2 linked regions of the Daphnia pulex genome follow. The protein of the gene in region 1 purifies or fractionates together with the protein of each later gene. This does not show direct contact. Links are inferred from orthologs where the notes say so. Each region holds a gene or a part of one and is shown on either strand. Other genes may lie near its edges.

Region 1 (3,968 bases):
GACGGGCTCGCCTTACTGCCTTAGACGATGAGAAAACATCCATCGTGTTTACTTGGCATAAACATGTTTTCAAAGAATGATTTGAGTTTTAAGATTGTACCGATTAAGCTAGGTTAAGAAGCTTTGGAGTGCATGTAGCATTTACTCTGGTCAACCGTAAAACGCTCGAGTAAACGAAATAGAACTAAAGTGTTCAAAGTCTACACAAAATTGGATTGGAGATTTTTGAAGTAAATTTACCCAAGATTAACACAAAAGAAAACATCGAATTAACTCAGCAAAACCCAAAATAAGTCACTCGACTTTAAACAGTTTTATCCTTAGTTATTGCTGATTGGTAATATTACGGATATGACCTAAAATGGATAAGTAGTATATTTCTTTCTACTTCCGTTGAAGTAACATTAAATAATAATGCGACTGAGAAGTAAACACAAGTAAACATCAATTCGCCTTCAATGGCTTATTGTCTTATGTAAATTTGCACTAAGTGATTTTTTCAAATGTTCCATCCATTCTGATACCAAATTTTCGCTCCGTTTCCTAGCACAAATAAAATTGCAGAACGAATTCAAATAAAATTTAATATTTGAAAAATGCTGCAGATGCTGTTGTGGCATTCTAACTTGTTCTTTGGTGACGGCATAAAGACTTTGATGTGTACCTGTGCCGCACGTTGGTACTGTTACACTGCTTGTTCACTAAAATACGGCCATTCAACTCATGTATAAAAATCACCTTCAACTCAATCGTCCACTAAAAATGTTTTAAGCATCTGGTGTCTCCATAAGACTGTAAGGTCGCTATCGACTTTGGTACACTTAACAAGAAAAAAGTAATTTTTATATATTAATAAATGATAATATTATTAAATAAATGTGACGAAAAAAATTATTTTCCGTTTACAATAGCTTTTTCCCTTTAGGCTTACGGGTAGATAAGTCTTAAAAAATAATTATGAACATTTGATGATTAAATTATTCTGTTGCAATACAAATTTGCATAATCGCAAACGTTTCGAATACAAATAGTAATAATAAATAACGTGACAGACTCGACAGACTTCGTCAGGAACTTTAGATTTTTGCATTTTCGTTAGGTTAATTTTTACTGATAGTTGGCATTGCTGTTGAGGTTCATGGACGAGAATGAGAAATTGTTAGTTTGCTCACTTCTACGCTAGGAGCGCTGAAGATATGACCTGTGAGAAAAGTCCTTGGGTCCGTTGCTGAACGTCCGGATGAAAGACCTGGCCATGTTGGTGTAGTTGGCTTTGGAAGTTTGGACTCTATCTTTTTGTGAAAAAACGCTCCGGTCCACAAAAGTCGTCCTTTATTTGTCAACGAAATGGGCTCAGCAGAAGTTGATAAGCATACCCCTCCATCAGTAAGTTTATATTCATTCTTAGCAATCAAATCGTGCAATTTTAAAGTGTGTCGGTAAGACGTCGGGCAAATACTGGAATGGAGAATCTATGGATTTCCCTCGGAGTCGGCCGAAATTTTTCTAAGTTCAAAATGGCCGTCAGCGGCTAAGTCCCTTCGTCAAAAACCTCTTTCTTTGGAACGGTTGACAAGCCTTATTTTGAGGGCGGCTAACAAATAACTTTTGGTTTCAAGATCGCATGTTCGAGTTCAATTCCTCTTTCAATTTTCGTGAAAATCTGTTGAACATTTGACGTGGAATTAAATTTAAAAAGTTGAATTTCTAACCCGAAAACGCGCTGACATGGCGTCAGATTTTCAGAGTCCAAAAGATGTAGCTCAACAGATATTTTCCTACCTTTTAGTTAGAATGATGACAAATTCGTCGTAACCGAACGCTCTTGTTTACAGTACATTTCGGTAGCGACTTACAAATAATATCATTCATGAGCTTGTGTTTCATAAAAAAATTACTGTCATGGAAATCAATGACTTCCAATTCATTGGCTAATTTTATTATTTAATGATTTGATAGGGTGATGGTGCTGGAAAAGATATGTTGACTGGGTTGTCAAATGGCATGGATCGCCATAAATCCAAGGATAAGGTACAAGCAAAATACTTTTTGAACATGAGTAAGTTTAATATGGTTGAACTAACTGATATCTTATTGTTTAGGACCATCATTCTCACAAGCACAAACATAAAGATAAAGATCGTGAGAAATCTAAAGACAAAAGCCGTGATAAACACAAGGACAAGCACAAGGATAAGCATAGGGATAAGGTAGTAAAAGTTCTAAACTATTTAATTAAATATTCAATTAATTTGTTGTGATATTATTTTTAAGGATAAGCATAAAGACAAATCTAAGGACAAAGATAGAAAGCATGACAAAGAAGAACGCAGCAAGGACCGGAAGCATAGTAAAGAGGATAGAAAGGTGGAAAAAGAAGAAAAGAAGAAAGGGAAGGACAAATCCAAAGACAAAGCTGAAAAATCCCAATATGTTGAAGTTAAAAATGAACCTTTGTCTGAAGATGATGATGTACCATTGGTAAGTGTTGATAAACCTTTCCATGTTTTGACTAGTTTTAAAATTATTTGATTTTTTTTCTGCTTAAGGCTTCTCGCTCATTCAGCCAGACTTCACAGGATTCTGAGGATGATGATCAACCCTTAGCTTTTCGCCAAAAGGTTAAACCTGAGGTTAAAGCTGAAGTTAAAGCTGAAAAACCGGTGAAGAGAAAGGCCGAAGATTTGGATGATGATGATTTTTCAGCTTCTAAGAAGAAAGCTAAAAAAGTAAAAGAGGAAAAGAAGGACAAGAAAGAAAAGCCAAACAAGAAACCAGCCACTCCAAATGGTTCGCCCACCAAACGAGCCAAAAAAGAAAAAGAAGAGGAAGAAACGTGGAAATGGTATGTCTATTGTTTAAAGTAACGATTTCAAACAAAAAATGTCAAAACGGGTCCATATCGATATTTTGTGATCGATAGTTAATCGTAAGCATGGCGGCTTGTGTTTTAAGATGCCGTTTTTTTATTAGTGCAACACTTTCGAGAAATGCATTTGTTTCATCATATGTTTTAGTTAAAAATCATTTTACGTCAAATTTAGTTTTACGTTATGTATCCTTGGATATAAGATATTTACCGTGGTATTTTAACTCTTACAAATAATTCGTTATCCCATGTTATTTTTCTTTGCAACCTTCTAAAGTAACCTGTGTTCTAAAATAACGTTTGTTTTTGTTCTTTAGGTGGGAAGAAGAGAAGCATGAAGATGGAGTTAAATGGAAATCCTTAGAGCATAAGGGTCCAGTGTTTGCTACACAATATGAACCCCTGCCAGGAAATGTCAAGTTTAAGTATAATGGTCAAGAAATGAAATTGAGTACAGCTGCTGAAGAAGTTGGATCATTCTATGCTGCTATGCTGGATCATGACTATGTGACTAAAGATGTATTTAATAAGAATTTTTTCAAAGATTGGCGTAAATTTATGACTCATTCTGAGAAAGAGATTATTACTGATCTCAAAAAGTGTGATTTCACCTACATGCTTACCTATTTTAAAGGTTTGTCAAAATTTTCTGCTAGTTTCTAATTAATTTTGATGGTTGTTAATCCCATGTTTCCTTCTTTAGCTAAATCTGAAGAGAGAAAGAACAGGACCAAAGAAGAAAAACTTCAGCTGAAAACAGAAAATGAAGAAATGGTTAAGGAATATGGATGGTGTATTATTGATGGACACAAACAACGTATTGGCAATTTCAAAATTGAACCGCCGGGTAATTTATTATTTAAAGTTTTTCTCTTTTTAAAATGCTAATTCTATTGTTTGAAGGTCTCTTTCGTGGTCGTGGTGATCATCCTAAAATGGGGATGGTAAAGCGGAGGGTAATGCCAGAAGATGTCATCATTAACTGTACTAAAGGAACTGCACCTAAACCTCCTCCTGGCCATAAATGGAAAGAAGTTCGTAGTGACAATACCGTCACCTGGCTAGCTTCGTGGACAGAAAACGTCCAAGGGCAAGTGAA
Region 2 (3,933 bases), on another chromosome or scaffold:
AATACATTTCTTTGAGGAATGTGGCTTCAGGGTTTGGAAACGCAGCTGTTTCAGCTCTACCCATGGTTGCACCCGGGTGGAAAAAGTTTATACGCAAGTAAGTATAGTCTCCTTCGACACTTTGACTGATGTTCTTTATAGTCGAAATGTGAAAAGGAACTGGAATTCCGTAAATGGGCATGATGACCGTTTCGTACTTTCGATCTACAATATTAAATGTGGAATTATTCATTCTTTGTAGCACATATTTGAGAGCACACATTCAAAAATATTTGAGAAATTATGGGCTTACCAACATATAACTTCAATTCCTTCACTTCATCTTCTTTTGGCAAATCTTTCCCGGATTTGTATGACACGGTAGATTTCCGGATCTTATCGCCTTCCAAGCGTCCCTAAAACCAAATCAGATTTTAATGTTATTCTTTTGCACATTTATTTTCTTTTTGTCTTCTTTACCTTCTGCTGAGCAAGCCGAAGTTTGGCTTCTTCATTTAGATGAGAAGCCAATTCTTTTTGATGTTGCTTACGTTTTTCTTCGGTAGATGTTTCCTGAAAGAAACACAAATTATAAATTATAACAATGGAAAATGATAAGAAGAAAAGTACTATGTACCCGAAGTTTAGAATCAAGAATAGCGGTCCGCTTGCCTCGACCTAAATTCTGGGGCTGTCGTGATGGCTTTTCTTCGTCCTCTTCCTCCTCCTCTTCTTCCTCTCCAGATTCATCTTTAAGGAATATACCGATATTCTTAATCCTTTTTTTCGAAGCAGTAAGTATAGTAGCTGGACCCTAAAAATAATGTTACTCGTCAAAAAAACAAGTAGAAGAAAAAGTTCAAAATTATAACTTACATCGGATACAATAACAGTGTCGCTCAAAAACAAAGCCTAATATTTTAAAAATAAAATAATATATATTTAAATAAACAAATAAATAAATAAATATTATTAATTTATATAAATACATATTTCTTATAGCGATCATCGGTGCCATCAGAATTTTCCAAGTCAGCAAATCCAAGATTGACATTGAAGACCATTCCTTTTTTGACAACTGCGTTATTCTTCGGGCCGATCACCAAAGAGCTTTCTCGAAATTCAATTCCGGTAACAAAGCCAAGGGTTTTTGTCATCTTGTCAAGAAGGGCTGGTTTTTCTTTCTTTACGTATGCCTCAGCAGCATTATAAACATCGCTAAACTTTGCTCCTTCGACGAGAGATTTCAAAATTTCGTCTTCAACCGATAACAAGAAGTTGTATGTCTCCTACAAGTTCATAAGAATGTAATCTAGACTCATTTATGGAAATATCTTTTTCTTTACCTGCATCTTTTCAGTGGGGTTGACAAGAAGGGTTCGACCAATATTGGAGCAGTAAGATTTGTAACGTGCTCCTAAAAGACAAACAATTGCTCCAAAATGAAGGGGTTTATCATCACTGTGAAATAAAAAGAAGCATTAATGTATTCACATAAAGTTTGCTAATTGATAGATGTACCTCACTGCACTAAATTTCAGGCTGTAATTCCCTCCACTTTGAATTATGGCTGGATAACACATATCAACTTGACCCGTATCGACACCAGAAACATATTTCTTGTCAGTGGCTGCGTTCTCCACTCCTTCGGCTAATTTTGAATGTTTGACCTTGACAAATAAATTCAAATTAAGTCCCATTGAAAAAAAAATAATAAATTTTTCAAACCTTTTTATCTGCATCTACAATTTCCATAACCTGTTCTTTTAAATATTTGTTGAATAAATCAACAGATACTTGACATGCTTTCTTGATCACATTCAGTTCAGATTCTTCTTTAGGAGCCATCATATAAGCTGCCCCAGAACTAACATCAACTGTCCTGAAAATATGATTTCACACATTGTTATCTATATATTTCTAATAACACTTTCTAATGTTTCTTACTCAAATTTTTCTTTCTTGATGGCATTGTTCCATGCATCCATGAACTCTCCATGAAAACTGTCTTTTGAGAACACTCCAAGCTTTTTTCCTTTTTTAGATTTTTTCAATGCTTCAATAAGTTTCACAAAATTGGCTTTATCTTTGTCGCTCTAAAAAAATAGAAAAATTTCTTTGTTGAAGTTCCATGTTTCTAACATGGAAAATATGTATCATGATTTACTTTGTCACGAATCAACAGCTTAACAGCGGGCAAGCCTTTCTCTTCTTTAATTGCCTCCAGCGGGCGTAAGAAATCTATCTTCTTCTTACTTGCAAGGAAATAGATGGAATCTTCACACAGAGCCATAACTGTATCAGTCAATTCATATCCAAGAAGCCATGATTGTAAAGCAGATGTTTTGCTGTACACAACTTCCTCATCCGCCCCCAAAGCTGTGACCAATGCATCCATATCAGCAAACCCAAGTTCAGAGTCTTCATTCTATAAGATATTATATCATTGCATGAAATGAAATCCAACTGTCATGGTTGTTTGACGCCAACTTACCTTCCAAGACGAATAGAATCGCTTTATCCTTCGAAAGAACACCTCTCTATCTGCAGCGAGACTTCCCATTTTCAGTAACAAATGGGATCATCCAAGTCGAATGGGAAACTGCAATATTTCAACTTGAAACTACGAATCTGGAATGGCGAAATTGTACTGAGGTTCGTTACAAAAAACTGCCAGACCGTTTACCCAACGCAACCCATGCTTTTCCCTCTAAAAAGCAGAATGAAGTTCATAAAGACCTGGGCGTTGCCAACTATGATTTTAATAATAATATTATCCATTGATTTTTCAGAAATATCAGAGCAATAGATACCTGGTCGGTTCTCGGCCGTGTTGGCTTCCCCATCTCGATTTTAGGGTAAACGTGGTCCGATTTTCAGGGGGTTTTAGGGCGGGGCCTGTCATTGGAAACTAGAAACAGAGCCATCTAGGCTCTCAAAAGTAGCTGAGCGTAGTAGCTGACACACTCACTAGAGCGCTCATTCCAGTTTCCAAATCGGACCACGTTTACCCTGAAACCGGGATAGGGAAGCCAACACAGCCGAGAACCGACCAGGGATTCTATAGCTCTGGAAATATGCATATTTTTTTATTTTTTTTAAGATTTTTATGCTACAGGATATTTATGTCCTACTGCATGAATCTAAGTGAATACTTCGAATTCGAAATCATGACAAACAACTTGTTGCTTTTCGGAATTTGGCATCCTTACAGAATTGCAGACTACGCGAAAAGTCCATTCCCTCAGTCAGTGTCAATATTTTTACGTATGACTGAACTAAACAGTACAATCGGCCAGTGCACCTATCTTCAAAAAAAAACAAACAAACAAACAAACAGTACAATTCCCTAAAAATGGTTTCAGTACAAAAGTCCATCAAATGCATTTTTTGCCAGATTTGTGAAGGTCTGGCGCCAGCAACTATCGTTCATCAGGTTAAGGCTCTTCCTCTCTCATTTTTGACCAATTAAATTATGCGTTTTGTAGCAAATAGGTTTATTTTCTTCCAGGGAATCAATTAATCTAATGTAGACTAGCTATTACCTGAAAATCACAGTAAGAAATGGCTTAGATATATTAAAATAAGGTACTTAATAAGATAAAGATATACATTTCCTAATGCTGTATTTCCTTTCATAAATAGGATGTAAAATATTTGGCTTTTAATGACATCAAACCATCTGCTAAAAACCACCTTCTAGTCATTCCTAGAGATCACATCAATGATATTAAAAGTCTTACCATAGAAACAGTCAGCATGGGTAAATTGCCTGATTATCAATTCAAATAAACTTATCAATATTTTTTTATTAGTTGAAGAAATGGTAGCTGTAGGACAGCAACTTGTGAAGAATCATGGAGGAGACTTGAGTGATTGCAGGTATCATATGGATTCTTACCCTCATAAAAAATTGGTAGTAATGATTTCAACTAAATTGTAGAATGGGATTTC

The links. Proteins that work in one complex are often made in the same cells at the same time.
Region 2: the proteins of DNA topoisomerase I, mitochondrial-like (region 1) and FACT complex subunit spt16-like fractionate together in Homo sapiens (co-fractionation; 3 studies listed by BioGRID and IntAct, with this or other methods). This does not show direct contact. The link is inferred for Daphnia pulex from reciprocal best matches to the Homo sapiens genes TOP1 and SUPT16H.

The regions. Positions count from the first base shown.
Region 1 is NC_060019.1:12,290,875-12,294,842, forward strand, and holds the start of DNA topoisomerase I, mitochondrial-like, read left to right. Parts: upstream 1-1,168; 5' UTR 1,169-1,347; coding exon 1,348-1,386; intron 1,387-1,959; coding exon 1,960-2,031; intron 2,032-2,102; coding exon 2,103-2,210; intron 2,211-2,274; coding exon 2,275-2,481; intron 2,482-2,549; coding exon 2,550-2,845; intron 2,846-3,186; coding exon 3,187-3,503; intron 3,504-3,572; coding exon 3,573-3,716; intron 3,717-3,772; coding exon 3,773-3,968. UniProt on the Homo sapiens protein: Releases the supercoiling and torsional tension of DNA introduced during the DNA replication and transcription by transiently cleaving and rejoining one strand of the DNA duplex.
Region 2 is NC_060017.1:5,830,731-5,834,663, reverse strand, and holds the start of FACT complex subunit spt16-like, read right to left. Parts: upstream 2,801-3,933; 5' UTR 2,543-2,800; coding exon 2,474-2,542; intron 2,408-2,473; coding exon 2,147-2,407; intron 2,076-2,146; coding exon 1,927-2,075; intron 1,862-1,926; coding exon 1,708-1,861; intron 1,650-1,707; coding exon 1,501-1,649; intron 1,441-1,500; coding exon 1,326-1,440; intron 1,269-1,325; coding exon 969-1,268; intron 892-968; coding exon 856-891; intron 794-855; coding exon 617-793; intron 553-616; coding exon 460-552; intron 396-459; coding exon 293-395; intron 205-292; coding exon 6-204; intron 1-5. Other genes in the region: adenosine 5'-monophosphoramidase HINT3-like, read left to right, coding at 3,335-3,415, 3,625-3,742, 3,795-3,861, 3,923-3,933. UniProt on the Homo sapiens protein: Component of the FACT complex, a general chromatin factor that acts to reorganize nucleosomes. The FACT complex is involved in multiple processes that require DNA as a template such as mRNA elongation, DNA replication and DNA repair.